7 linked regions of the Sus scrofa genome follow. The protein of the gene in region 2 purifies or fractionates together with the protein of the main gene of each other region. This does not show direct contact. Links are inferred from orthologs where the notes say so. Each region holds a gene or a part of one and is shown on either strand. Other genes may lie near its edges.

Evidence for each region.
Region 1: the proteins of RAF1 (region 2) and AKAP8L purify together in Homo sapiens (affinity purification with mass spectrometry; 3 studies listed by BioGRID and IntAct, with this or other methods). This does not show direct contact. The link is inferred for Sus scrofa from reciprocal best matches to the Homo sapiens genes RAF1 and AKAP8L.
Region 3: the proteins of RAF1 (region 2) and DICER1 purify together in Homo sapiens (affinity purification with mass spectrometry; 3 studies listed by BioGRID and IntAct, with this or other methods). This does not show direct contact. The link is inferred for Sus scrofa from reciprocal best matches to the Homo sapiens genes RAF1 and DICER1.
Region 4: the proteins of RAF1 (region 2) and TCP1 purify together in Homo sapiens (affinity purification with mass spectrometry; 3 studies listed by BioGRID and IntAct, with this or other methods). This does not show direct contact. The link is inferred for Sus scrofa from reciprocal best matches to the Homo sapiens genes RAF1 and TCP1.
Region 5: the proteins of RAF1 (region 2) and CALU purify together in Homo sapiens (affinity purification with mass spectrometry; 3 studies listed by BioGRID and IntAct, with this or other methods). This does not show direct contact. The link is inferred for Sus scrofa from reciprocal best matches to the Homo sapiens genes RAF1 and CALU.
Region 6: the proteins of RAF1 (region 2) and LRRC59 purify together in Homo sapiens (affinity purification with mass spectrometry; 3 studies listed by BioGRID and IntAct, with this or other methods). This does not show direct contact. The link is inferred for Sus scrofa from reciprocal best matches to the Homo sapiens genes RAF1 and LRRC59.
Region 7: the proteins of RAF1 (region 2) and CDC25A purify together in Homo sapiens (affinity purification with western blotting; 3 studies listed by BioGRID and IntAct, with this or other methods). This does not show direct contact. The link is inferred for Sus scrofa from reciprocal best matches to the Homo sapiens genes RAF1 and CDC25A.

The regions. Positions count from the first base shown.
Region 1 is NC_010444.4:62,194,735-62,198,234, reverse strand, and holds part of AKAP8L (A-kinase anchor protein 8-like), read right to left. Parts: intron 1,787-3,500; coding exon 1,754-1,786; intron 1,476-1,753; coding exon 1,235-1,475; intron 32-1,234; coding exon 1-31. UniProt on the Homo sapiens protein: Could play a role in constitutive transport element (CTE)-mediated gene expression by association with DHX9. Increases CTE-dependent nuclear unspliced mRNA export.
Region 2 is NC_010455.5:68,598,906-68,602,405, reverse strand, and holds part of RAF1 (RAF proto-oncogene serine/threonine-protein kinase), read left to right. Parts: intron 1-347; coding exon 348-446; intron 447-2,625; coding exon 2,626-2,779; intron 2,780-3,366; coding exon 3,367-3,426; intron 3,427-3,500. UniProt on the Homo sapiens protein: Serine/threonine-protein kinase that acts as a regulatory link between the membrane-associated Ras GTPases and the MAPK/ERK cascade, and this critical regulatory link functions as a switch determining cell fate decisions including proliferation, differentiation, apoptosis, survival and oncogenic transformation.
Region 3 is NC_010449.5:116,433,621-116,437,601, forward strand, and holds the start of DICER1 (endoribonuclease Dicer), read right to left. Parts: upstream 2,801-3,981; 5' UTR 2,701-2,800; exon of another isoform or gene 2,540-2,700; intron 1-2,539. UniProt on the Homo sapiens protein: Double-stranded RNA (dsRNA) endoribonuclease playing a central role in short dsRNA-mediated post-transcriptional gene silencing.
Region 4 is NC_010443.5:7,588,836-7,592,939, forward strand, and holds the start of TCP1 (T-complex protein 1 subunit alpha), read left to right. Parts: upstream 1-1,304; 5' UTR 1,305-1,489; coding exon 1,490-1,553; intron 1,554-2,711; coding exon 2,712-2,797; intron 2,798-3,007; coding exon 3,008-3,136; intron 3,137-4,079; coding exon 4,080-4,104. Other genes in the region: MRPL18 (39S ribosomal protein L18, mitochondrial), read right to left, coding at 1-42, 1,077-1,152. UniProt on the Homo sapiens protein: Component of the chaperonin-containing T-complex (TRiC), a molecular chaperone complex that assists the folding of actin, tubulin and other proteins upon ATP hydrolysis.
Region 5 is NC_010460.4:19,851,805-19,855,304, forward strand, and holds part of CALU (calumenin), read right to left. Parts: intron 294-3,500; coding exon 127-293; intron 1-126. UniProt on the Homo sapiens protein: Involved in regulation of vitamin K-dependent carboxylation of multiple N-terminal glutamate residues. Seems to inhibit gamma-carboxylase GGCX. Binds 7 calcium ions with a low affinity.
Region 6 is NC_010454.4:26,691,468-26,695,749, forward strand, and holds the start of LRRC59 (leucine-rich repeat-containing protein 59), read right to left. Parts: upstream 2,801-4,282; 5' UTR 2,594-2,800; coding exon 2,489-2,593; intron 726-2,488; coding exon 666-725; exon of another isoform or gene 1-665.
Region 7 is NW_018085145.1:101,417-105,660, forward strand, and holds the start of CDC25A (M-phase inducer phosphatase 1), read left to right. Parts: upstream 1-1,444; 5' UTR 1,445-1,938; coding exon 1,939-2,108; intron 2,109-3,089; coding exon 3,090-3,163; intron 3,164-4,244. UniProt on the Homo sapiens protein: Tyrosine protein phosphatase which functions as a dosage-dependent inducer of mitotic progression. Directly dephosphorylates CDK1 and stimulates its kinase activity. Also dephosphorylates CDK2 in complex with cyclin-E, in vitro.

The sequences.
Region 1 (3,500 bases), on a different chromosome or scaffold from region 2:
CCTTGAGTCACAGGCCTCGTAGGAATCATATCTGCAGAGGCAGGTGGCAAGCATCAGGGACGATCTCAGGTCCCATCATCCTATTACTGCCTCTGCCTTCCCCTAAACCTCGTTGTCCTGGGGATAGGAAGACCCACTCCAACACCCATCCTGTCAGAAAGGATCAATGTTCAGATATGCAAATTAAAAGGTCTCTGAGGAACAGAGTTCTAGAAGCCAGAAAGGGCTCTCGGCCAGTGTCCCCAAGCCTGCATGAGGCCACACACCAGCTTGAAGACCCTAAGGGCAAGGGGTAGGCTGGGTAGGCACGTCCCACTCCTCAACACTTTTTGCTTGCTACAGAGCCCATGCACGCAAAAGTCCCCTTGGCACTCTTTGCCCCCTAGTGGTCCTGGGGCCTCACTTGGCCCCACCAGTGCCTGGCCAGGTCCCTCCTTACTCTCTGCTCTTCCCTGTCAGTTGGAGCCATGAGGTTGCTCCCCTCATGGCTGTGCCAAGAGATGCCCTCTTCACTGAAACCTCTCACTAGGGCACAAGAACGCCTGGGCCAGCAGCAGTTTGGACAATGACAAATGCCTACAGCATGATGCTGTGGGGCAGGGCAGATCTGAGTGGGAGGCCCATCTCCACTATTTACTCCTGGGTACCTTTGGGCAAGAGGTGTGACCTGCCCACACTTTACTTTCCCCATCTGCATAGTGAGGACATCAACAGTTCCTCACAGGAACACTTCTGATGTTCAACAAGTACACATTTATAAGTCACCAAAGGGTACCCTTATATGGGATGGTCCAGCTCACTATGGTCAGCCCCAAAGGTTCACTCCAACCTTTACACTCAACCCAATCTGTCCTGCCCTGACAGAAGGCAGGATGCAAAGTATCTCGAGAGCTTCAAATGGTTGTCTCCAGAGGGAGGAGCCATTTAACAATGTTCCTGAGAAGAGTGAAATGGGAGGATTCAGTGAAACCAGCCCAGTCTGGGCTTGTTTCTCCCTCTATAAGCTGGAGGAGAGGCTCACCACTGGGCAATGCAGGAGAATGGAGGGAGAAGAGGACACAGGCCAGAGAAGGGAAGTGCCTTGGACCCCAAGCAGTCTCTGGGAAACCCCAGCAGCAGAGCAAAGAAAAAAGTAGACACAAGAGATAGTTCAGAAGAGGAAGACACCAGGGAACAAGAGACAGGAGGTGACCCGGCAGAGCCTCAACCCCTAGGCAGGTAGATGCCCACTCACCTTTCTCCACCTGAGCTGTACACGCCTCCTTGTATCACATCTGTCTCCAAGTGCGGAACCATATCTAAGCGCTGGTTAATTCTGGACAAAACGGAATCGGCACTGGCACTACCCATGGCACTAGGGTTTGCATTTGTGTCAGAGCTAGGCATTTCCCAAGAGTTTGAAGTGGCCATACCATACCCATAGTTGGTGGTGTTATCCTGGCCATAGCCATAGCCATAACCATAGTTCTCGTAGCCTGCAATGAGGGGGACAGAAAGAGAGACAGACAAGATGGAGGGGGCGAGGAGACAGAGAAACAAACACAAGAGACAGGACATTTTTGGTCAGAGACAAGCTGGGTGGGCCATCGCCATTCTGAAAAGGCCTCCTGTGAAGGAATTGCTGGCCCCAGTGCACCCAGGACCCCCAAAGACAACCCCCACCCTGCAACTTTAACTAGGCTGGGCAGTGGCAGAAACACTCAATCAGTTTAATCCCAAGGAAAAGGAGAGTGATTATGGGAATGATACTTGCCTCTGTTTGTCCCAGAGTTCCAAGTTCCATATCCTATAAAAAGTAAAAGAGAAATTACATCTATAATTGCTTATAAATGCAACAAGAATTCAATTCAGACACAAAGACAATGATTCCCAGCACCTGACTGGTTAGAGACTAAGCCTCGCCTAACTAAGAAGCCTTGAGCTTGCGCTACATAAATGAGCCAGGCCACTTGTTGCCCTGGTGCCTGACTTTGCATGGCTCTGACACTCTGCTATTTATGAACCCCCCATTCCCAGCATTCTCAGCTAAGGAATTTGGCGCCTATACTCTTTCTTTGAAGAGCCTAAATTGGAAGATTATTCCTGCTCCCAGCTAAGTACCAATCTGAGGAAGAGGAGAGCAGTTTCCAATGCCTCATACACTCTATGCTGTACAAGAAGCTCAGCACAGAGCTCATACCCACTCAAACTCTGTCAATCAAATCACCCAACAAAGTTATCTGGAGCAGAGAAACTGACTGCCCTAGTCCCACAAATGTTTAACTTAATAGGAAGAACCAGGAGTTCCTTTGTGGCATATAGGTTAAGGATCCTGTATTGTCACTGCAGTGGCTTGAGTCATTCCTGTGGTGCAGGTTCAATTCCTGACCAGGGAACTTCCACATGCCACAAGCACAGCTGGGGGAGGGGGGGGAATCCAAAAACAGAAACAAAAAATCCCCAAAACATGGAGAAACACCACCAAGCCCGTGAACTGTGTGAGTGTGCTTGGAACACATAAGTAGAGGGAAAGACAAGATACCACTCTCAGCTTGAAAAAAGCTGTTAAGAGAACAATCAGGATTATAAACTAAATATGTTTTGAATTTTATCAGACACATAAGGAAAATTCATTCCTTCAGAAACATAAAGCCACTGAAAACTAACAAACTGCAAAAAAACAAGTGGGAACTCTGAGTCAAGCAGACATGATTCTTCCAGAAGGAGTCCATAAGAACAGGTCACCACCTTCCCAGTGTCTGATGGGACCCCCAGAGTCATCTACTCCACACTGTTCCTGCCCTGCAGACAGATAGGCCATGCTAATCCTAGGGCAGGGACCAAACCTCAGTGAGATGGCAGTGAGATGAAAAATAGAATCCAGCCACAGGAAAGCAAGAGTTCATACACTGAGAATATGAACCAGAGCAAATGGGGATGGGGACAGTGGGTCAGTCAAGGTTCTACACTCAAGTTCCTCCTCAATCAGGTACACAAATGAATGGAGAGGCATTGGAAAACAGCGAGGAACTTTGGTCACTATTCTAATGAACCACAGGCATGCTAGAGCTCACAAAGCAAAAATCTTCTTCAGCTGTGGAAACCAAAAGCAGGGGCTTCTTATTCCTTTATTCGACAATTACCATCCTCAGAGCAAACAGAACAAAGTGTGGCAGTCCTGGGCACTCCTCAGACCCAGAGCACTGCTATTAAAGGAGGCAGGAAATAAGAGAGCAGCAAGGGCTGGAAATCACATAAGAAGGGAGTGGTATACGAAGCTTTTCTTTCTTTTTTGGGGGGGTCCTTTTTATTTTGTTTTGTTTTTGTCTTTTTAAGGCCTCACCTGCAGCATATGGAAGTTCCCAGGCTAGGGGTTGAATCGGAGCAATAGCTGCTGGCCTACAACACAGCCACAGAAACACCAGATCCAAGCTGCATCTCTGACCTACACCACAGCTCACGGCAACACTAAATCCTTAACACACTGAGCAAGGCCAGGGATGGAACCTGCATCCTCATGG
Region 2 (3,500 bases):
TGTTTCCAGAAAAGCTCTGCATGATTTAGGTTAGTTATAAAGTGCCCTACTGTGTATAGCTTTTGAAAAAATTATTTTGATACAGCTGGACATTGAAGCAGCATTTCCTAGAAATGCACATTAGAGACTCTGTGTTCACTGGCAAGTCAGGATTTTTCACATTCCGTAGTCATTCATACTCAGTCACTTGGTTTGGTAGTCCCTTTACTCTGGTAGCCCAAATGGTCCAAGAAAATGTGACTAGGAATAGTTCGGCCTGAGTAGTTATGAGTTTGCAAGGCCAGGCAGGCTGACTGTAAAATTATTACCACAAGTCTATAAACCAGTCTTTCTCTGATTTCATTTAGATTGTTCCCAAATTCCACTGTTGGTGATAGTGGGGTCCCAGCACTGCCTTCTTTGACAATGCGTCGGATGCGAGAATCTGTTTCCCGGATGCCTGTTAGGTATTTTTTATCTACTGCTTTTCTTTTGGAAGGTTTTATTGGTGTGGGTGGGATTGAAAGCATGGATGCAAAAGACAGGAGTTTCCTTGCGTTCCTTCCGCCCTGTGTAAACCCTTTGCTGCTTCTGTGGACCCCAGTGTTGGTGTTAGAGCAAAACGTAGTTCTTTGTGGTCCTGTAGTTCTTGAATTCTGGAAAGTGACTGTGACTATAGTTTATTCTGTTATCCTAGCATGTCCCTTTGTTCTCATTACGTTTTAAAGAACTTGAGATTTTTGCCTTCCTCATTATGCATGTGCAGTGAGCCTCAGGGAAAGGGTCCCAAAACAGTAAATAGTGATTCAATAAAAGTAAAACTCTCAACTTTGAATTACTTATTGTAGGCTTACATTGCTAAAACCATGGTACCTAATAAACTGCTCTCTTTAAAAGCATCTAATTAGATGTTAGTATAATATCTATTTTATTTTTATTTATTTATGTGTCTTTTTAGGGCTAACCTGCGGCATATGGCGGTTCCCAGGTTAGGAGTCCAATGGGAGCTGCAGCCACTGGCCTACACCACAGCCACAGCAACACCATATCCAAGCCGCGCCTTCAACCTACACCATAACTCATGGCAATGCCAGATCCTTAACTCACTGATTGAGGCCAGGGATCAAACCCTCATGCTCATGGATCCCAGTTGGGTTCATTAACCACTGAGCCACAAAGGGAACTCCTAAAAGCTGTTTTAAGCTTTGAGTTAACATGTCTCAGTGTTACACATGAATTTGGAACCAAAAACAAATCTACGTCTTTATTCAAAGTATCTGACTTTATATATATTCATAATTTTTTTTTGGGGGGGGGTCTTTTTAGGGCTGCACCCGTGGCATATGGAAGTTCCCAGGCTAGGGGTTGAATTGGAGCTGAAGCCACCAGCCTACGCCACAGCAACATGGGATCTGAGCTGAGTCTGAGACCTATACCACAGCTTATGGCAACACCAGATCCTTAACCCACTGAGCGAGGCAAGGGTTCGAACCCACATCCTCATGGATGCTAGTCATGTTAACTAACTGCTGAGCCATGACAGGAACTCCATATTCATAAAACATTTAATGGCCTTTGTAAACCTATCATGAAATTTGTTAAAGGTAGCATATTTTAGAACAAAGAATCTGAATTGATAATCTAGATGTGTTTGTATATGACTTCTATTTTTCTTGATAATTTGAAAAGCAAGTCTGACTGAAAAACTGTAATTGTCAGTTCCCTGGTGGTCTTGTTAGTGGTCAGGACCTGGTGGTTTCACCACTGTGGCCCAGGTTCGCTGCCTGGTCTGGGAACTGAGATTCCTTATCATGCCGCTGCATAGTGTGGCCAAAAAAGAAAGGAACTGCTTGCTTTTGAAGATTTAGATACATTTAGATGGAAGAAACTGGGGTTCTGAGAGCATTAGTGTTGAATTGCCTGGAAAGGCAGTCTTTCAAGGAAGTAAAGCAGTTTCTTTTAGAAAAACCATCTTTTTGTCCCTTGAATTCATGCATGGTGCTGCTTGAATCTGAATAGAACTCAGAGTAATCTTTTGAGCAAATAATGAAAATCTTATACCTAATGCATGTTCCCAGTTTGGTTGGTGGGAGAGTGGTTTTGGGTAAAAGAGGCCAGTGATACATTTCACAGTTAGGTATTGAAACCTAAAAACTCAGCTCACGTTAATTGACTTTGTGAGCTGTTTATGGGGGAGAGGATTCACAGTGGATAAAATTCTGGCCTGTTTGTAGACATGCTTAGTAGGTCTGACCATCTGTTTAAAAAAAACTTCTTTAAAGTTTTCTAATTTGGTCTCATAATTAACCTGAATAAGTCCCAGCTAGCTTAGTAGAGGGTAGTATGGTTGGTAACTGTTAATCTCTCTCAGAGGTTGTCTAAAATTTAGAGTATTCTGTAGAGGTGGTTTATTAAATAGAAGAAAACTAATAATGTATCATTTCTTTTCACATGAATTCCAAGCATGTATATTTCCTTTTCTAAAATAAATGGTGCATATTGAAAAAAAGGAACATTTTTTTGTCAAAGGTTGTAGTTCAAGTAGGGTTTGTCCCAAGTATCTTAATGAAGTAGATACTCGAAAGACTGCCTGTACAGAAAGCTCAGTATCAGTCACGGAATTTTCTTTCTCCTTCTCTCTACTAGTTCCCAGCACAGATACTCCACACCCCATGCTTTCACATTCAACACCTCCAGCCCTTCCTCTGAAGGTTCCCTCTCCCAGCGGCAGAGGTCGACGTCCACACCCAATGTCCACATGGTCAGCACCACCCTGCCTGTGGACAGCAGGATGATTGAGGTAATGGGGCCCCTTGCGGGTGGTAAAGATTATCAGTCAGCTATTTGATTGGGGTTTACTGTTGTGTCAGAGAGTTCTGGGTTTTAAACCTGATAAGGAATGTTGTAGCACTTTCTCAAATTCCTGGACTTTTAAAATTTCTTTTCTTATTCATTACATCTTGAAATTGGTTTAATAATCTGGTTAGTGTATCAGTCGAGGGGAGAACTAAAATTTCAAATTGAATTCATTCTTTCCATATCAGATTAGAGTAGGATTTCAGTGAACTAGTGAATAAGGTCTATAAGGAGTAGTTTCTTTCTGGTTTGGAAAAGAAAATAATAGTGGTAGAGAGGTACAAACTCTCTGAAAGACTTTTAAGTGATTTTATTTAGAAATGAAAGGGTAGAGTTATAGGATTTTAGGTATTTAGGGAAATATAAAGGTGCCTAAAGCCTGGTGTTTTCAAACTGCTTTTTCTTTTCTTGGCTTTTTTTGTATGTTCTATTTGTTTGGTTTGCTTTCTAGTTCATCTTTAATAACAACTGAATACATAAAATACTTCCTTTGTTCTTTATTCTTCTTTATTTCTCATTGCTTTGGACTAGAATAACAGCCTGAATGCTTCTCCCAGGGCGTGGTCCAGACGATTTTGTTTGAGGGGAAGAGTAGGTATTTTTCTTCATGCCTTTGCTTTCTTTTAAATTAACAGGATTGCTAAGACTGTCAGACAGTAGACTAT
Region 3 (3,981 bases), on a different chromosome or scaffold from region 2:
AAATGTTAAGTAATTCAGATAATCAAAGGTCACCTGGACACTTAAGGTGAGACAGTTTCAATTCATTCAGCAAGTATTAACTAAGGACTTACGTGCAACTTATGCAGGTTTTTCACCTCAAGTCCACTTGCAGCAGCGATGCAATGCAACGCAAGGATAAGCGCCCACACGTAAAGACTGTGAAATCAGAGCAGGATCCAATCCTGGCTCTGTCACTTCTAGAGTCAGAACCCTCTAAGTCTTAGCTTCCTTGCATGTAAAATAAGACAACATGGAGTTCCCGTCGTGGCGCAGTGGTTAACGAATCCCACTAGGAACCATGAGGTTGTGGGTTCGGTCCCTGCCCTTGCTCAGTGGGTTAACGATCTGGCGTTGCCGTGAGCTGTGGTGTAGGTTGCAGACACGGCTCGGATCCCACGTTGCTGTGGCTCTGGCGTAGGCCGGTGGCTATAGCTCCGATTGGACCCCTAGCCTGGGAACCTCCATATGCCTCGGGAGCGGCCCAAGAAATAGCAAAAAAAAAGACAAAAAAAATAAATAAATAAAATAAGACAACATTAAGTTGAATGTCCATGAAATACCTACTTTCTCAAATGAAACAAGTATCTCCTCCATCTGTCCCAGAGCGGCAGGGAATAAATATCTCAGTGCCTTAAAGGTCAGCCTTCTTGAAGACAGGAGTACTTTAAAAGTACTACCCACTGCACACCACCACAAAATCACTGTCAAATTAGGATCATGAGCCACATCAAGATAAAAATGTCTTCTAAAACCAAGACAATACAATTCAGCAATGGCAAAACCACTTCACATACAACTCACACACAGACCCACAGGCATAATACAAGAAGCAGAACTAGCCTTTAATGATGAGAAGACAGCATAAAAAGGAAAGCAAGCCCTTACTGCAGAAAAAGGAGGGCTTTGCTCCCCAAATGAAACGTGGACATCTTTTCTTAAAACAGCATTTTGATGCCTTGAATAAATCCCTCATTGCCATTTAAGTATCCATAGTGACATATTAAAGGCAATCTCTGCAGTGTTTCTAACCTATAGTTTTATAAAATATGTCCTGAAATGAAGTTCTGAAGTAACCATATATGTTTCATATATTACTTACAATATACATATGCCCCAGAGGGACAGCAAGCTTTAAAGACAATGCTTTGCAAAATAAACTGATTATTCCAGAACCTACTTCCCAAAGATACTAATACTAAAATTACTATTCACTAGCAGCACATTCAGAATCTTGTCCCGTCATTCATCCTCTAACAAATTATTGGAGCTCTTGGCAAAGATGGGTATTTTTATTTAGAAAATTTAATGTTTATGCCAATACTCTTTCAATGTGGTTAGCCTTTTATTTAAAGCACATTAAAAAAAATAATTTCCAAGTTACTTAACTCCTGACTTGTGCCCTTTTCCACTCACTGTGCTGCACTTGAAAAAACAAGCAACAAGAAGACAACTGAAAATCAGGATTGTGACGACTCAGAAAAGTCAAAGGCCAAAGCACCGCAAGAAGCACAGACTCCAGAGTAATACTGTTGAATCAGATGAACGCTTTTAAATCGTGATAGTCGCAATACTTCAGACTTAGATGAGTCAGTAATGTGCCCCTTTCAGCAGGACTTTTCCTCCCAAAAGCACAGGTTGAACTCTACAGCAAGGACTCTCCGCTCGTCTCGGTTTTTGCAAATCTTCAAGCTATTAAAGATACATTAAGTGGTTAGTTAGCTCTGTACCGCGGGCAAAGCCACCAGGCAGCTCAGCTCTTCTGGACAATCTACAAAAAAATCTACTATGCTAACTTGAAACATACACTGATTTCCCAAAGCAGATTTAAAAACCCTTAAGAAAGGCTCCTTTGCAGGGTCCAGGCGATCTGGCACAAAAACACTGGAGAGGAGGGGTGGGGGGAAAGATGGCCTCGGTCACCGGCCCCTGGGGACCCAGATCTGGTCACCTGCCAGTAAACACGAACAATTCTCGAAGGGCGCGCCCCAGAGGCTCGCACTTTCCTGCCAGCACAGACGGCCCGGCTTCCTTCCCTCCTGGCCCCCTCGAAGGTGTCCATCGAGGAGGCCCAGCGCAGCCACCGCCACCACCGGGTCCCGAGGATGCTCCCGGGACGGGGCTGCTGATCCCGCACCACTGCCGCGTGCGTTAACAGGACCTGTCAAAGCCCCGCTCTCCGCGGGCCCGGGGCGAGCGGCGAGGACCGGCCCCACGCCCGCAGCGGAGGCGCCCGCGTCCCTATCCGGTGCCTGGGCGACCGCACAAAGTCCCTCCGAAGCGCCGACTCGGGACGGGCGCCGGGGTCGGGGAGGCGCAGAGCCCGGCGGGGTGGACGCCAGCCCCGCAGGCCGCGCCGTCCAGGACCAGGCGAGGCCGCGCCATCTGCCCGCGCCGGTCCCCCCACCGCGGGGCCCAGGCCCGGGCGCCCACGCGGGCCTCCGCGCAGAGGCGGGCGCGGGGCCGGGCGGAGCCGCTCCCCGCCCTGGACACAAAGCGGCTCCGCGGGAGCACGCCTCACCTGCAGCACGGGGCGCCGCGGGCCTTCGAGAACCATCGGACCCCGCTTCGGCGCGCGCGTCACAACCCAGGCCTCCCGGTGCCGCCCGGCGCCGCCGCCGCCGCCGCCATTTCCTCCCGCTCGCCGTCGCCTCGTCCCCGCTGTCAGGTTACTCCATTCACCTGGGCCTGGAGCAGCCTGCGCCGCGCCGCGCCTCCGCCTCGACCCCTCCCGCCGGCGGCTGCGGAGACTGCGCAGCGGCCGGCTCGCCCGCAGCCCGCGCAAGGCCCGCGGCAACGGCGCACAGCAGCTTGGAGAATCCCACCCGCGCCCGCACCGCCCCCTCCGCGCCCCCACGCTCCGCTCGCCCCGCGCCGGCATGAGAGCGAGCCTGTGATTGGACAGAGCGCGGCGGTGAAAGGTTAACCCCGGCCCCCCAGCCACTCAGGAGCCGGGAGACAGTGGACTCGCGCGGTGGAGGCCCAGGCGGCGTTTGCGGCCCAGAGCCCAGACCCAACCCGGACGTTCCACCGCCTGCGGCTCGGCACTTTCGCGGCCCTGCAAGGGCCCGCGGGCCGGGGCTGCGGACGCTCGCTTGGCTCGGCAGAATCTGCTGGCTCGCGGAATTCGCCCGCCTCCATTGTTGCCCCTTCTGGCACCCACATCCCCGGAACGTGGCCCTGCCCCACGGCCGTAATTGTTCTCCGAAGGGCTCGGCGCTCCTTTTACCAGCCCTTCCCCTTTTTAAAGGACTTTCCCATTCGCCTGCTTTTCCCCCCCCGGGGTTAGTGGTGCTGGGCCCCCCGCATTTGGGGTGACGACTCATCCCACCCTCACCCCCGTCTCGCAACTGAGATAACCTGCACATGAGAGGGGGCAGCGGCCCCATTTATGCGAACTGTTCATTTGCTTAGATCGGAACCGTGTGTTTTGTGGCTGTGAGTTAAAACGTGGAGGTCCAGGAAGTGACTGGCTAAAGGCAAATCCTATGACTTTATCCCAAAATGTAGGCCCGTCTTCCAGATGACTCACGTGGTACAGTGGCTTACTCCAGATGAGGTATGGTAATAGCAGCCACGCTTCTAAGAATTAGCACTTAGCACCTGCTATATTGAGCACTTAAAAGTATGGCTAGTCCCAGTGGAGATATGATAGCTGATACTCAGATGTATGTATTCTTTACCCAAAAAGAGAATGCAGAACCTCTCCCTAACGGGTATGATATTGATGACAAGTTGAAGTGATAGTGTTTTTGGTATATGGGGATAAATAATGGTTTCGTTTGCTTTTATTTTTTTGGTGTATGTACTAGAAATAGAAAGTGTTTAAAGTCGTATGTGACTCGCACTATATTGCTGTTGGGCAGGCTGTTGTAAGGTTTGATTTTTATGTGATTTTTATGCTGTAAATGCCCCCCGTTTTAACAGAAGAAGAAGGTGGATAACCTCCAGCAAGGAAGCCGC
Region 4 (4,104 bases), on a different chromosome or scaffold from region 2:
TCGCTGGCTTACAACTGGTTGAGAGCGCTGCCGCCCGACACCCTAAGAATGGAATCAACCACGATGATCTCACAAAATGATGAATTCGACAACACAGGGATATGATCTAACCTGTCCCCATCCTCTCTCCTCAGTCTTTGAGCGCAAGAAAGGGGACAAAAAGCTGTGTGGACACGGGGTGTGGTCATCACAGCCATTGGTCTGCAACTTTCTACTAGAGCCATCACAATTAACTGGTTTACTTTTCGATGGGGAATGTCGACTACGAAATACGACTTGCATGTGCACACTGGTTGTGCGAACCTGGGGAGAAATCTAAGAGAAGTGGTAAGATGAATTACCCGGGTTCCTGCAAATCGACAACAACGCCCAGAATCGCGACCGAAGCGCCATCGTTGAGGGAATCGCAAACAAAGCCTCGGGCAGACCAGGCCTCTTTCCTCACTGGGGTCCCAGAGGTTCGCTGGGCGCAGCCATGTTTACTTAGGGAAAAGCCTAAGGCTCACGTAAGGTCATCGACGCCTCGACAGGAACCAACAAGCCCCCCGCCGCTGAGTGGTAGAGAGTGCAATCTGTCATCTCCGTTCCTCCAATCAGCGCTTACGCTGGGGGCGCACGCAGGCGTCGGAACCAACCAAACACTTAGCAGCAACAAACTTCCGGGGAGGGCGCGAGCCGTTAAGTAGAGGACGCTTGTTGTCGGCGTCCGGCGTCTCGGGCACGCAAGGCAGCATGTGTTCTCTCTTTGGGCCCTCGGGTTGGAAGGCGTGGATTGACCATTGTCAGGCACCCCTCTCCACACACGTGGGGGAGAAGGGGCAACGCAGGACGCACGCCCTTCTCTTTAAAAAGGGTGGCTGTCGTTTTCCCGTAGGGCCCATGGAAAACCTTGCCCCGTCCCATCCAGATTCGAGCTTTTACTTATGAGTCCGGAAACAAAAAGAGACTCGCTGCGTGCTCTTCGTGCGAGCTCCATTTAAAGGAAAACAAACTATAAACAAAGACTCGGAACCCCAGGTCTACCTCAAACGGCCCCGCCCACCCCGTCCCCCGTCACTCTCCAAGCCCCGCCTTACCTTTTCTAGAAGGCACTAGAAAGTGCAAACGCGCGTGCGCAACCTGTTTCAGAGGAACGCTTGAGCGTAGCACCATCTTCCGCCAGCGGTCCAAGTTCCTGACTTCCGACCTCCTACCTTCGCGCCGTTCTCATTCGCTTTCTAATTGGGCGAACGGCTGGACCCGCCCTCCTTCCGGCTCCTTACTTCCTGCGCGTTCAAGCTTCTCGAACCCTCCGCCCCCACCTTTCTTTCCCGTCCTGCCCCGCGGCCTGGCCGGGGCGTGGGGCGGTGCTGGTGAGCGAGGAGCGGCGTTCCCAGCATCCTCCGCGGCGCCGCTGAGGACCGTTCCACGCCGTTGCCGCCCGGCCGGAGCACCGCGCCGCAGGTTGCCCTCGGTGTGCCCGAAACTCGACGTGTACCCTGCCGCGAGGATGGAGGGGCCTTTGTCCGTGTTCGGGGACCGCAGCACTGGGGAGGCGATCCGCTCCCAGAACGGTAAGGGCGGGCGAGGCCTGTCTGGGGCCCGCAGCGGTGCGCCGGATTCCCCTCGGCCGTCGTCCTTTTGCCTTTTCTCTCCGAAAAGGGGCCCCCGGGAGGCGCCAGCGCGGGATCGCAGCCCCGGCCGGCCTCTCCGCTTCGGGGTGGCGGCGCCCTCTTCCCGGAGGGAAGGAGTTCCCAAGAGCCGGCACGTTTTTAACGGGAACCGCTCGGATGCTGCGGTCGGCCGGGGAGGCCCGGCCCTGGGCCTGAGAAGCACTCCCCGGCCTGGCGAGGGTTCCGCGCACTGACACGTGCGGCCACGCCTTGAGTTCTTGGGGCCGGTGCCCCGCGCGTTTGGGGCGTCCATCCCAACTTCTGGGTCTCATTTTAGCGTTGCTGATCAGAAAAGACAGCCTTAATTGCTGCTCTTATTGGTGAGCGAATGGCCCCACAGTTCAGAAGACAAGCCCGTTGCACACCACCGGTTGTCATCTGGAGTTAGATGCGGTGTCCCCACCTGTCGTTGGTCACATTTGGTAATAGTTGGCTAATGAAATTTGTTGAATGTTAGGGTAAGATTAAAATGAGTTTATCTACTGAACTTCAGCCCGTTAAAGCATTTGTGGTTGAGCCTCTCTTGAGACTGTTTACACTTTGAAGCCCTGCATGCCAGGTTCCAGCCGGTCTCTAGTCGATCTTAGGGTTATTTTGATAGATTCCTACGTGATTTTTGTAGTGGTGGAGTTTGTAGTATAGTCATAACCTCTGGATTTCTGCTTTTTTGAGTCACAGATAAAGGATTATTAATCTCAATAGACCTTTTTTTCTTTAAAAGAGTTGCCAGAACGTGCAGGAAAAGGCTTAAATATATATTTATCTTTTTCTGTTTTGTGTGATGTGACAGAACCTGAAATGACTAGTAGATATATTTTTTTAATTGTATGCAGCAATTAAGTGGATATTCACTTGGCACCTGTTTTGCAGTTGAATTCAAACTGAACTTTACTGGTTACTCTCCCTCCCCATCAGAGACTTTAGCTAATTTCCAAATTTGGACAGATTTGCAGATTTGAGAAATTCAGAGGCTGTTGGATATCCTTTATGTTTTGGGGAGCTGAAATGCTTGTCTCTTGGAATCCCGGGTTTTTCTAATTTCTTTTTTCATTTCTACAGTCATGGCTGCGGCTTCGATTGCTAATATTGTGAAAAGTTCTCTTGGTCCAGTCGGCCTGGATAAAATGTTAGTGGATGATATTGGTGTAAGTACGTCTAAATGTTGTGTTAGTCACTTTAAAGGGAAAAAAAGAGCATTTGTAAATACTTTGCTGTGTAAGTTACTTGTTTTTATTAGAATGGTTTTGGGAAGTCTAGTAAAGGTGAATGTATCGTAATGGGACTGTGCTAACTTAGAGGGTATTCTGTTTCTATAGGTGATTGTGTCATTTTTTCCCTCCCTGGAAATTTCTTAGGATGTAACCATAACTAACGATGGTGCAACCATCTTGAAGTTACTGGAGGTAGAACATCCTGCAGCCAAAGTTCTCTGTGAGCTAGCTGATCTGCAAGACAAAGAAGTGGGGGATGGAACCACCTCTGTGGTAGGTAAAGACTAGTGGCCGAGGACTAGTTTTTGTCCTTAAACTTTCAGAGTAAAGGCATAACCCTCCTAAGAAACTCCTCTGCTTCTGAGTCAGAAGTAATTTACATACTTGAGATGGAGAAAATTTAAGTTGTTTTAGGGGTAGTGATTCAGAAAATTTGAAAACTCATGGTTAGGGCTAATTTGTACAACTCAAGTAGGGGGGGAAAAGCATAGTTCTTGTTTTAAATTTTCTACAACTTTTATGCATTTTTTCCCCTTGGGCTGTGCTTATATTAAAGCATCACGCATCTGTTGAATGGTTTCTTTTGAAGAAGAAAAATGTTATTTATTTCTCTTTTTACAGTCTGAGGCTTAGAAATTTCTAAAACCTTCCCAGGTGTTTAAAGACAAGATGTTTTTATATTTTAAATGCTGACAGGCAGTCTCACAAGTTCAAGAAATCTGGTAAATATGTGATCAGTAATATGACATAAACCTGAAGATGGACCAACACTGTGATGTGTTATAGAGACGCTGTTATGTAGTAATGAACAAATAATTTGCTCTACAGAAGCAAGCAGTAGTGGGGGGGGGGCATCTCTTTCTGGATTAAACTTTAAGCTATGAAAGAATGGAATCTAGCTCTTCTGAAATAATGGAAATGGTTTTTGCTAGTAACTGTTCATAGTAATATAGTTTTTTAAATGACTTTAATTTTCTCAAAAGAAATAGATGAGGGTTTTTTTGGTGTTTTTAAATGAAAATAATTTTGGTGTTCTCAGAAGGATTTTTTTAAAGTTTTATTGCTGTGCGGTTGGTTTACAGGATTGTGATAATGAGGTAGCCTTTTCACTGTCTTTACTTTGTGGTGATGAACATCTGATGCGTGGCAGTGTTTTTATGTGTGCGCCGTCCATGATGTCAGGCTAACATGAGAGCAATGAATGTTCTCTCTGCAGGTTATTATTGCAGCAGAACTGCTGA
Region 5 (3,500 bases), on a different chromosome or scaffold from region 2:
TTGGACTCAATTTGGCCAGTACTTGTACAGCAAGTCATTCTTCTAAATACAGAAGAAAGGCTAAAAAGGAAGAGTGTAAGCAACAAAAAGTGAAAATTTCCACTGGGAACCCTTGCTCTCACCCACCTGCACTACTATATCTTTCATGTAATCATACTCCTCAGGGTGCAGGAAAGCTGTGAATTCCTCCTTTGTGGCAATGAGGTCTCCATCCTTGTCTGCCATTTTAAACCTCCGCTCATCTCTAACCATCATCTGTTTATAGTTAAATCCATCATCAGGATCTGGATCATCTAGAAAACAAAAATAGAGGTCAAATCTTAAAAGACTTCCAGAAAACACAAAAATGTACGGGAATCAATTTCCAAGAAATATAAACCAAGCAGTAAAGGGTTAACTCTTGATTACGCAGCAGTATAAAGACATTCAGTTTTCGTAATCAAAGATCTCGAAGTCAGATCCGAGTTGAATGAAATGCTTGCCATTCAACATGGAACCCTGGCTTCGGGGCTATATGACCTATTGTTTAATGCTTCACTGGTATTGGTGCAAAAGCTACTAGAGGGTTTGCGTTTTCTAGTCATATCCAAGAAGCAGTGGTGGTTCTAAAGTCATACTGTTATACCACTTAGCCATGTGACCTTGGGCAAGTAACTGAACTGTGCTTCAATTTCCTCATCTGTAAAATGGAGCTAACAACAGTGCTGACCTCACAGGATTGTTTTGAGGTTTGAATAAGTAAGAAGTGTGCCTGGCACAGAGTTGGCTTTTAATAAATGTAAGCTATGTTTATTAAACATTAGGCTCTGATTAAGAAGTCAGATATCAAAAGCCTTCTATCCCATCACAGGCTATGTGGAGTCAAGTACCAGAACATCACCACTTTGAAAGGTCATACTTTACAGTTTTTTTCAGCCAACTCAGAAATATACCATGAGATACAAGTCCTGTTCACTACTTCCCCTCTCCGATTTTTGTAAAATCCTAGAAAATGAAAACAAATCTAGAGCTATAGAAAATACTCCAGTGGTTGCCCAGGGACAGAGCATGGGAAAAGTGGGGATTATAAAGGGACACAAGGAAACTTTTGGGGCGAAGGAAATGTTGATTTATTTTGATTATAGCAATGAATTAGCAGATGTATACACATATCAAAACCCATAAATTGTGATTTTAAGTATATTCAATGAAAATTCATTGAGTAATTAAAAATGAATAAATAAATAATAAGTATATTCAGTACATTGTATGTTGGTTATACTTCAATAAAGCTATTATAAAAAATAAATGTTAGATTATAACCACATTGAATTTTGGACCTATCTGTGAGGATGTTGAACTGCACAAGCAGTAGTTTAGAATCTAGAAAAACAAACTTAGTTTCTTTAAGTTGGGAAAAAAAATATGAAGGAGTTAATGACAGAAAAGGAAAAAAAAAAAAAAAACAACAAAACAACACTTTACAATCTCAATTGCTGTGTGGACCAAATAAGATAACATGTGAACATATTTTGAAAAGTAAAAGATGCCTGGAGTTCCCTGGTGGCTCTGCAGGTTAAGGATCCAGTTTTGTCACTGCACTGGCTCGGTTCACTGCTTTGGTGTGGGTTTGATCCCTGGCCCCGGAATTTTTGCATGCTGGGGGCATGATAAAAACAAAAGAGGAGTTCCCGTCGTGGCTCAGTGGTAACAGGCACGATTAGTATCCATGAGGACACAGGTTCGATCCTTGGCCTCACTCAGTGGGTTAAGGGTCCGGCATTGCTGTGAATCATGGTGTAGGTCAGATGTGGCTCGGATCCAGCATTGCTGTGGCTGTGGCACTGGCTGGCAGCTACAGTTTCGATTCGAACCCTATGCTGGGAACTTCCACATGCCATGGGTGTGGCCCGAGAGGAAAAAAAAAAAAAAGACAAAAACACTACCAAAAAAAAGAAAGGTTTCTGCAACATACCGATCATGTAAGAAAAGATATAGCACTAGTGCACTAGTTTTATAAAAAAATTCAGAACCCCTTAACAGTAACATTACACTGTTGACTCTTTTTTTTGCCTTCTTTTTTTTTTCTAGGGCCGCTTCCCGGGGCATGTGGCGGTTCTCAGACTAGGGGCCCAATCGGAGCTGTAGCCACCGGCCTACGCCACAGCCACAGCCATGTGGGATCCGAGCTGCATCTGCGACCTACACCACAGCTCACAGCAACGCTGGATCCTTAACCCCCTGAGCAAGGCCAGGGATCGAAACCGAAACCTCATGGTTCCTAGTCGGATTCGTTAACCACTGAGCCATGATGGAAACTCCTACACTGTTGACTTTTGATACCATAGTTCAATCTTTCCATACTTTAATCTTTCCAAACAACAATAAACTACTGCTCTATTTTAAGAGTTGAGCAACTTGAAGCTTCATTCTTTGTTGAGTGTCAAAATTCAGTAAGACAGTTTACTAAATCATGAGGCTTTGGGGGCCCTATATGTGTATACTCAATATAAATAAGAGATAACAGAAGACAACTTATATATTTAGACTAGTTTTTCAACTAAGAGCCCTTCTCTCCTCCTTTGGTAAAACACAGCAACTGGAATCAAGTAGCCCAATAACATGCACATAGATAAGGATGAAAAAAGATATAAAACTTTATTATTTTTATTTTCTTTTTGTTTCTTTTTATAGCCACACCTATGGGATATGGAAGTTCCTGGGCTGGGGGTCAAATTGGAGCTGTAGCAGTCAGATCAACACTGGATCTGAGCCGCATCTGTGACCTACGCCACAGCTGCTTGGGGCAAAGCCAGATCCTTAACCCATTGAACCAGGCCAGCGATCCAACCTGAATCCTCATGGACACTATACTGTCAGGTTCTTAACCAGCTGAGCCACAACAGCAATTCCTAAATCTTTATTTTTAATGACTGAACTCACGTGGCTATCATCACTGCTCAGAGTGCCATTATCCATCCTAAGTGCCAGTTTACTGGGCCAGCTGGCTGGCACATAGCTATGGGTAAGCTCGTGATCTTGTTTTGGTATAGGCAGGGTGGATATTAGTATCTCATTTTACTTGTGGCAGAGACAGGGTTGATGTTCCTTTTGTGGAAAGCAGATTCATGACAGATATTATTTAAAGCTAGGATGATTTAGGAGTTCCCATTGTGGCTCAGCGGTTAACGAATCTGACTAGCATCCATGAGGACGAAGGTTCAATCCCTGGCCTTGCTTAGAGGGTTAAGGATCTGGCGTTGCCATGAGCTGTGGTGTAGGTCACAGATGCGGCTTGGATCCTATGTTGCTGTGGCAGTGGTGTAGGCCAGCAGCTATAGCTCTGATTCAACCCCTAGCCTAACCTCCATATGCTGCAGGTGCAGCCCTAAAAAACAAAAGAGTGAAAAAATAAAAAGCTATGATGATTTGTAACTGAACCCAAAACTCAATCAAGAACACACTCTCACAAAAAACTCCTCAGCACTTTTGCAAGGTACGTCATTACCCTGAGCACTGTC
Region 6 (4,282 bases), on a different chromosome or scaffold from region 2:
GGCCAGAGTAATGGATGGAAAAGGCAATAATGACAACAAACTTAGGCCTGACGGTGCAGGACCACCGCCATGGAGGAGAAACCAGCCCATACCCAGGAGAGGTCGAGGGGGCTGAATGACTCCTACGCTTTCACAGGTGGAGCAAAAGAAGCAGGAGAAGTTGCACAAGAAAAATCAGAAGGATTCGACTGGAAACATTATCTCAAGTAATTCAGGTGTCGGGAGGATGATATGGCAAGTCCCACAGAACTATGCTTTTTCCCATTCCCCATCAAAAGATGCACGGAGAGGCTGTTCAGAAACAGCATTCTCTCTGGAATGCAGAGCAACTTACAGAATCGTCTCTTGCCTCTTCTACTGCAATAGGGAGGTAAACTATTTCTCAAAGGAATAAAATAAGGCAGGAAAAAAAACATGACCCCAACAAGCGACTCAGCCAAATGTTCTGGTGACTTTCGTTTTTGGTGGCCTGACTTTCCCACTGTTCTTAAAGAAAGCGGCCTCTACCATGCTTCCCTTCCTACTGAGATGAACCTCCCCGCTTCTACCCCCAACACACTCCAATTTAGTGGTAGCCTGCTGGCAGGCCTATCCTGAAATTATGCCTTATGATGTAACTCCGCCAAATAAGAAGGAGAAGCATGAAGGCTCCCTGCCAGTCTTACCGGTAGAGTAGTCAGTTTATTGCAGGACAGATCCAGTATGGTGGCCTTGGAGAGGGCAGCCTAGGAAAGGGAATGAGAACAAAACGTCAGATCAACACATGGAACAATTCAGTGACATCTGCTAATGAAGCAATTTCCAGAGAAAGTCCCCACGATTAGAAAAGACCTTAAAAAAAAAAAAAAAAAAAAAAAAAAAAAAAAAAAAAAAACCTCTAAAGTATAATGTTCCTGGAGACAGGAAAGGCAAAATAAGCCAGTCAGAGTCAACCAGGACAGAGAGATGAATGCAAAGAGCAGGGATTCCTTTCCAAGAAAGGAAAACAGATTCTTAGAAATTCTCCATGGCACTCCTACTATTCCCTCTAGTACTGCTCCCGATTAGGTTCAGGGCAGGGACTCTGTCAAACAGCTTTGTGATTTCCATATTCTCTAGGTCAAGGCTCTTCTCCATATACCCGTTGGCTGATCCACGACTGAATGAATGAGTACATGAGTGAGTGCAAAGTAAAATAAGGCCCTCACATCCCAGCTCTGTTTTCCCATGGGGTTCAGCTTGGAGAAGCTCAGCAAAACTAATCCTTCCGTCTCCCGGGGGCGATGTTGTGTCAACCAGATGCCTGGAGTAAGTGCTTTCAGATGGCAGTCCTAGGGCCAGGCTGACACATGGCTGGCCATCTTCCTGGGGCCAGGAAGAAGGCAAATATTCGGTTAAGGATATTGGGTCAACTCTGCACTTTCCAAATGTCAGAAAGTCCCAAGAATGACATCTGACGACCTAAAAAAGTTTGAGCTATTACAATGGGAAGCACACCTTGGTAATACCTACATGTATGAGCATTTGCTACCTGCCAAGTAGTTTACATTACAATTGTATTTAGTCCTCCCAACAGCCCTATGAGATAGCAACAACTATCACCGTGTTATAAAGGAGGATAATCTAGGCTCAAAGGTTAACTAGCCTGCCAAGGGTACTAAGCCATTAAGCAATACAGCTGATCTACGAACTGGGAATCCCATTCTAACCTGGATACTACACAGCCAAGGTGGAGGGAAGACTGGGCCAAGTGCCAAAAGCAAATATGATCAGTTAGAGACAGTGACGAAAGTGCAGGTCATCCAAAGCGACGCTACTGTGGGGGATAAGGGTGGGGAACTAGGTGGGCAAAGCAAGGATGTACATTAACTTCACTTTGGCAACAAACTAGTCAGGTAATGTCCCTTGGGCCTCAGCCTGTTTTCCTGGTTGTGGGAGTGGGGGGGGGGGGGCCACCCTGGTGCAGATTCCCGCCAGTTTCAGAGTTGGGAAGAGACCTTGCCAACCAAGCAGTGACATTTCACTCTCAAGGAAGGACGCCTCAAGGCTGGGACAGCCAGCTGGGATTGGTCGCTTCCTAGAAAGGCCTGGTTCTGAGCCACACCCAGGTCTACCCGGAGGCCTACTCTGACGAGTCACTCATTCATTTGTTCATTCATTCTCCCAAAACATCAAGCAATCTCTCCGTGGGCGCCTACTCTGGGTCGGGCACGGAGCGAAGTTCCCTGAAAGCTCTTGAAATGCACGAAGATTCACTCCTGACCCGTAAAAAGCCCATGGCTACACCAGCAGCTAACCTCCCATCTTCTGGACCTGCGCCAAAGTGACACGTGTACATCCCAGGAAGAACGCTGGGGCTGGACGCGGCCTCCCCGAGGACTTAGTCCCACTTCCCCCACCTCGTTTTAAGCCATGGAAACTGAAGCTTGGGAAGGAAGGAGACCCCCCCCCACCAGGGGCCAGCGCCAGTCGAGGACCGGCGCCTTGGGCCTCGAGGGACCGTACTGACCAGCTCCTTGACAGGGACCTCATTCAGGTCGCTGAGGCTCAGGTCCAGCTCGTTGCCGTCAAGCTTGTCGCGGAGGTTCCCGCCCTTGCTACCGGCCTTGGTCATGGTGACGCCGGCTGAACGGGTCCCGGCCCCGGGGCTCCGACGGGCAGGAGAAAGGCTGAGAAGCCGCTCGTGGACTGAGGGGACGCGCACTCAACCGACAAAGCCTACGTCCCCCGCCGCCGCAGGTGCGAGATCACCGCCGACCGTCCGCCCGCCGGCCGCACTCTGAGCCCCGCACCCCGTTCCCACCGGTGCCGCCGCGACGACGACCACTTCCGTGTCCACGTCACCTTCCGCGGCCACTGAGACAGGCTGGGCCAGAGCGGCCAGAGCATGTTCGGGAGCGCCCTCTGGCGCACAGGATGGCGCACTGCTGTCCCGGGCACGGCCGAGGGCGCCGGTTCAGGCTCTTTTTTTTTAGGGCATCCGCGGCATATGAAAGTTCTCCATGCCACAGCCACAGTAACGCGGGATCCCAGCCGTGTCTGCGACCTACACCACAACTCACTGCAACGCGAGATCCCCAACCCGCTGAGCGGGTTGGAACCCGTGTCTTCAGGAATACTAGTCGGATTGGTTTTCTCTGCGCCAGAATGGGAACTCCTGGTTCAGGCTCTTTCTGTTGCCCGCCCCCTGAGCAGCTGGGTATCCGGGTGGCGGGAAGGGCGCCGGCTGGCAGTAGCCTCAGGCAACGCCAGAAGGCAAAAAGGCTGGGGGCTGGAGTTCCCGTCGTGGCGCAGTGGTTCCGACCAGGAACCATGAGATTGCGGGTTCGGTTCCTGCCCTTGCTCAGTGGGTTAACGATCCGGCGTTGCGGTGAGCTGTGGTGTAGGTTGCAGGCGCGGCTCGGATCCTGCATTGCTGTGGCTCTGGCCTAGGCTAGGCCGGCAGCTACAGCTCCGATTGGACCCCTGGCCTGGGAACCTCCATATGCCGCGGGAACGGCCCAAGAAATAGCAAAAAGACAAAAAAAAAAAAAAAAGGCTGGGGGCTGGAGGAGCTCACATCCAAAACTTACCTCACCAGATTTTCCCCATTCTTCTGGATTAGGAGCAGAAACTAGATGTCCTTCAAAATTGCTCTGTCCCCTATTTAACTAACAATCCCCAAATCATCATCATCGTCCGGAAAACTTTGCCTCTCTCTCTCACCTCCTCCTTACCTCCCCAAGCCCTGGGACCAGCAACTTACGCCTGGATTACTACTCACAGTGTCTCTACCTCTCATCCACCTCCACCCAGCTGCCCACATGATATTTCTAAAAATCTAGCCAAGTCTCTCCTTTGCTTAAAACCCTTCAAACCTCCAGCTGTCTGTAGGATATGGACCACTCTCTTTTCTAGACTGAATCCTGTGTGTTCCTGCAACTTTCTGACAAGCCCTGGCCCCAGCCAGGGATACTTCAGAGACTTCCAGTAGGTGGCATCCACACCTTCCCTGGTCTTGGAATGGCCCTGCCTTCCGACCTACCTTTGCTACCTAGCTAATTCCTAGTCCTTCAGGAAACCTTCCCTGGGGTTTATGAATCCTTAAGCAGTCACCATACATTACCTACAAACAAGCATTATAATGGTACCCGGCTGATAGAGTTTGAGGAGGACTGAATTAGTAAAATACATGAAGAACTTACATCAGTGTCTGGCACTTAGTAAGTACCCAGTCAATACTAGCTTTCACTCCTAATCCACCGTTATACTTACCTTTGTGCGACTTTCCTCCTAATGGGTTGTGATGGCAGGGGTTTCGCCT
Region 7 (4,244 bases), on a different chromosome or scaffold from region 2:
CCTAGCCTGGGAACCTCCAATACGCCGCGGATGCAGCCCTAGAAAAGACAAAAATGAACAAATAAATAAGTAAATAAATAAGACAAGACCTCTTTTTTTTTTTTTTTTGTCTTTTTCTAGGACCGAACTCTCGGCATATGGAGGTTCCCAGGTTAGGGGTCTAATTGAAGCTGTAGCTGCAGGCCTATGCTAGAGCCACAGCAATGCTGGATCCAAGCTGCGTCTGTGACTTATAACACAGATAATGGCAAGGCCAGATCCTTAACCCACTGAGCAAGGCCAGGGATCCAACCCGCAAACTCGTGGTTCCTAGTCGGATTCGTGAACCACTGAGTCATGACGAGAACTCTTTTTTTCTAATTTTATTTATTTATTTATTTATTTTTTGGACAAGACCTCTTAAGGACTTATTGCTGTACCTCTGCCTCTCTCATAAAATCATTCATTCTTGGAGTTGCCACTGGTGCAGGGGATATAGCAACAAATATGGTCATCTATGGAGTTTCTGTAGTGGCACAGTGGAAACGAATCCGACTAGGAACCATGAGATTGTGGGTTCCATCCCTGGCCTTGCTCAGTGGATTTAAGGATCTGGCCTTGTGGTGAGCTGCCGTGTAGGTCATAGACATGGCTCCGATCTGGCATTGCTGTGGCTGTGGTGCAGCTGTAGCTCTGATTAGACCCCTAGCCTGGGAACCTCCATATGCCGCGGGTGTGGCTCAAGAAAAGGCAAAAAGACAAAAAACAAAAAAAGCATTAGCTATTATTATATTTATGGTATTGTTATCTAGGAGCTCCTAAAGAAGTAAGAAAGGGTGGGAGAGAAGGAAATGATCCTAACAAAATATTTAAGAGCTAAAATGAAAGTGAGCAAAGAACACCAAGGCCCACAGCCGAAGCAGTCGGGTTAAATCTTGTCGTCAGTGGCTCATGGCCAAGACAGCCAGCTATACCATAGTCTTAGGCTCTGGAATTGGGCCCTGGTTTTCAGGAGGCAGAGCCCAGGCCTTGGATCATTCAGTTCCCTCTTTTCTTATAAAATTTGGGCCTGGCGGCCCGGGGCCGAAAAGAGGCCCGGAAGTCCTTCTCCACTCTCCACCGAGAGCCGATACAGCTTTCGCCTAACGGGTTAAGAGATGACTGGAGGCAGCGCTCCGGGAACTACGCTTCCCAGCATGCAACGGGCCAATAGAGGCCTTCCGGTCTCGTCTGGCCTCCTCGCAGGTTTCGCTGGGAGTTTGTATTGACCTCTACACCCCTCTCATTCGAAGGGGCTCTTGTCCCCTGTAGGCCCCTCCCCTTTCTGAGGAAGGGGGGGTGACCTCGCAGAGTCCCGCGAGCTGTTCCCTTCTTCCCTTCTCATTGGCTCAGCCTGGCTGCCATTCCTAAGCGAGGAAGAGAAGTTGATTACTGATTGGCGGATTCCGTTTGGCGCCAACTTGGACAGGGGGGCGGGGCGGCAGCAGGCCCCTGTGAGCAGCTATTACCGCGAAAAGCCACCTCGGCAGCGACAGCTTGGGAGATAGGTGAAAGCCAGCTTGGTTCTCTGCGTCCTCGGACTGGGCAAGAGAGTGAGAAAAAAGCGAAGAGCTTGTGAGCCCGGGCCGTTGCCTCGCAGCTCTGGCCGCTCTCCCTCCCCGACCCCCCACCCCGTTCGTTTGGATTTAATCTTCAGGTTGCCGGCGCCCGCCCGCCCTCCCGCCGGCCTCGCGGAGTGAGGGGAAACACCCGTGCCAGAAGCTGGCGCCTGCAGAGTCCGAACACCCGCCCGTCCGCGCAGCTTGCCCGAGACAGTCGCGTCCCTGAAACTCGGGGTCGTGTTTGTGTTTGACCCGCGGGCGCTGACGGCGAGGCGCGCGGCCGAGGCCAGTGCCGGCGGGGCGGGGAGGGCGCGGCGGAGGAAGAGGGAGCGGGATCCCTGGGAGGCCGGGCGCCGCCATGGAACTGGGCCCCGAGCCCCCGCACCGCCGCCGCCTGCTCTTTGCCTGCAGCCCCCCTCCCGTGCCGCAACCTGTCGTGAAGGCGCTGTTCGGTACGCCAGCCGCCGGGGGCCTGTCGCCTGTCACCAACCTGACGGTCACCATGGATCAGCTGCAGGGACTGGGCAGGTGAGAAGGGACCGGCGAGCGGTGCCGCAGGCCGCTGGCCTCCCAGATGGCTCTCGGGAGAACGGACCCGGAGAAGAGCGAGACTTGGTCCCTTAGGGGGCGGCCCCGCCGGCGGGGCCCGCCATGTGCACCCTCCCCCCAGCCCCCAGACCGAATGTTGAGCGGGAGAGTCTGTTCGGACCTCTCCAGGGCCGCCCTCAGCCCCGAGCCAGGCCCGGTAGCGGGTGGGGACTGCTATGGTTTCCCACCTTCGCCATCCCTTTCATTTTCCCTGTCCCCTTCTTCTGTTCCTATCCCAGGAACTTTTTTGAAATCTACCTCCACGGAGGGAAAGCAAGTCCTCCTCACTTCCACCCTATGCTGAACCATCTCTCAGGACTTTAGTTGCCTGTGAGCTTTGTTTCCTTCTGAACAAAGCGACATTTGCTGAGAAGGAAACGTCTCTTTGCCCCGGTTTCTTTCCTGGTGTTTGCAAAATTATCTCAGTCCCTCGCCCCATGCTCATTTCCTATGTGCATCCTATGTTTTCCTACGGCCAGATCTTTTTACTCGATTTTCCACACTCAGAAGCTCCCTGAATTTTCTTAATTGCAAAAAATGCATCGCATCGTTTTTCTGGTGAAGCTGCTTTCTCTTCAATCTTAGATATCCCATTTTCTAAATAAGCACGTCTTCCATCCTCTGAAAAGCAGGAACTTGTCCTACTCATTCCTGCTTCTAGCTGGGTACCTAGAACACATGCTCTCCTTCCGGGAAGTACTCCAGTAATTGATCATAGTCATCCTGTGCCAGGCCATGCCAACCCACTTATTTCTCATTTCCTTTTATGCTTAAGTCCTGAGTGGCCAAGTGTTCTGTGATGTGGCCTAGAAGTAATGATGGTTGGTGGCAGCATGGCTACTTGCTAACCTCATGGCCTTCCTCCTGTTTTAACCTTAATTATGTCCTAGAGCTATAGACAGTTATTTCTCTTGTTTTCAGTGAGTATGAACAAACACTGGAGGTGAGGAACAGCAGTCTGCAGAGAATGGGCTCCTCCGAATCAACTGATTCAGGTATTGGTTTAAGACATTTGTCATGTGTCTGCTGGGTGCGGAGCAATACCTAGAATTTGCTGAAATGTGCTTTCACCTAGAAACTTAGTTTGGTGAGTAGTTGAGATAGTAAACAGAAGCATGACTTTGAGTGACAGATACCCTTAAGATACAAAGGAGGCCCTGTGGTACTTTATGTCAAGTGGTCCCAAGGAAGTGTGTGCTTGGTCTTTTTTTTTTTTTTTTTTGTCTTTTTGCCTTTTCTAGGGCCACTCCTGCGGCATATGGAGGTTCCCAGGCTAGGGGTCTAATCGGAGCTGTAGCTGCAGGCCTATGCCATGGCCACAGCAACTCAGGATCTGAGCTGTGTCTGCGACCTACACCACAGTTCACAGCCACGCCAATTCTTAACCCACTGAGCAAGGCCAGGAATCAAACCCACAACCTCATGGTTCCTAGTCGGGTTCGTTAACCACTGTGCCACAACGTGAACTCGTGTGCTTGGTCCTGAGGGTGAGTAGTAGAGTAAAATTTAAACCACTATGAGTGGCATTCAGAAATTTTACTGGTTAAATGCTGGGTCAAATTATTGGCAGTATAATGAAATTATTTCAGTGACCCTGGAGAAAATGTGCCAGAGCATTTTATTCTAACCCATAAGTTCATGCTTTATTTATTTGCATAGATGCTTTAGGTTAGGGAACTACAAGTGAAAAGTCTTAAGATGTAGGCTCCTTAAGAACCACAGATAACGATTCTTATTTATGTCATTGTGGCAAGGGAGAATGTCAGTCAGGAGTAGCAACAAGTTACTTACTGTGTGGGTATCTAGGCATCATGGAGGAAAGGTTGTGGGCTAGGCAACCTTAAGGAGTCTGGACCATGCTGAGCAATGTTTCCTATTGTGCTACCTTGCACTTGACTTGACTTGGTGTTATTCTGTTGAAGGCAATACTTGCCTTGCTTGTCGGATGACAACTGTATTTCCCAAACCCCTGATAAGATACTTGAAATCAAAACTATTCAGAAAATGGGTACTTAATTCTTTCCATGGTTGGAACTCACAGAAAGTTAGCTTGGGTCATCCCTATCTGAATAACCA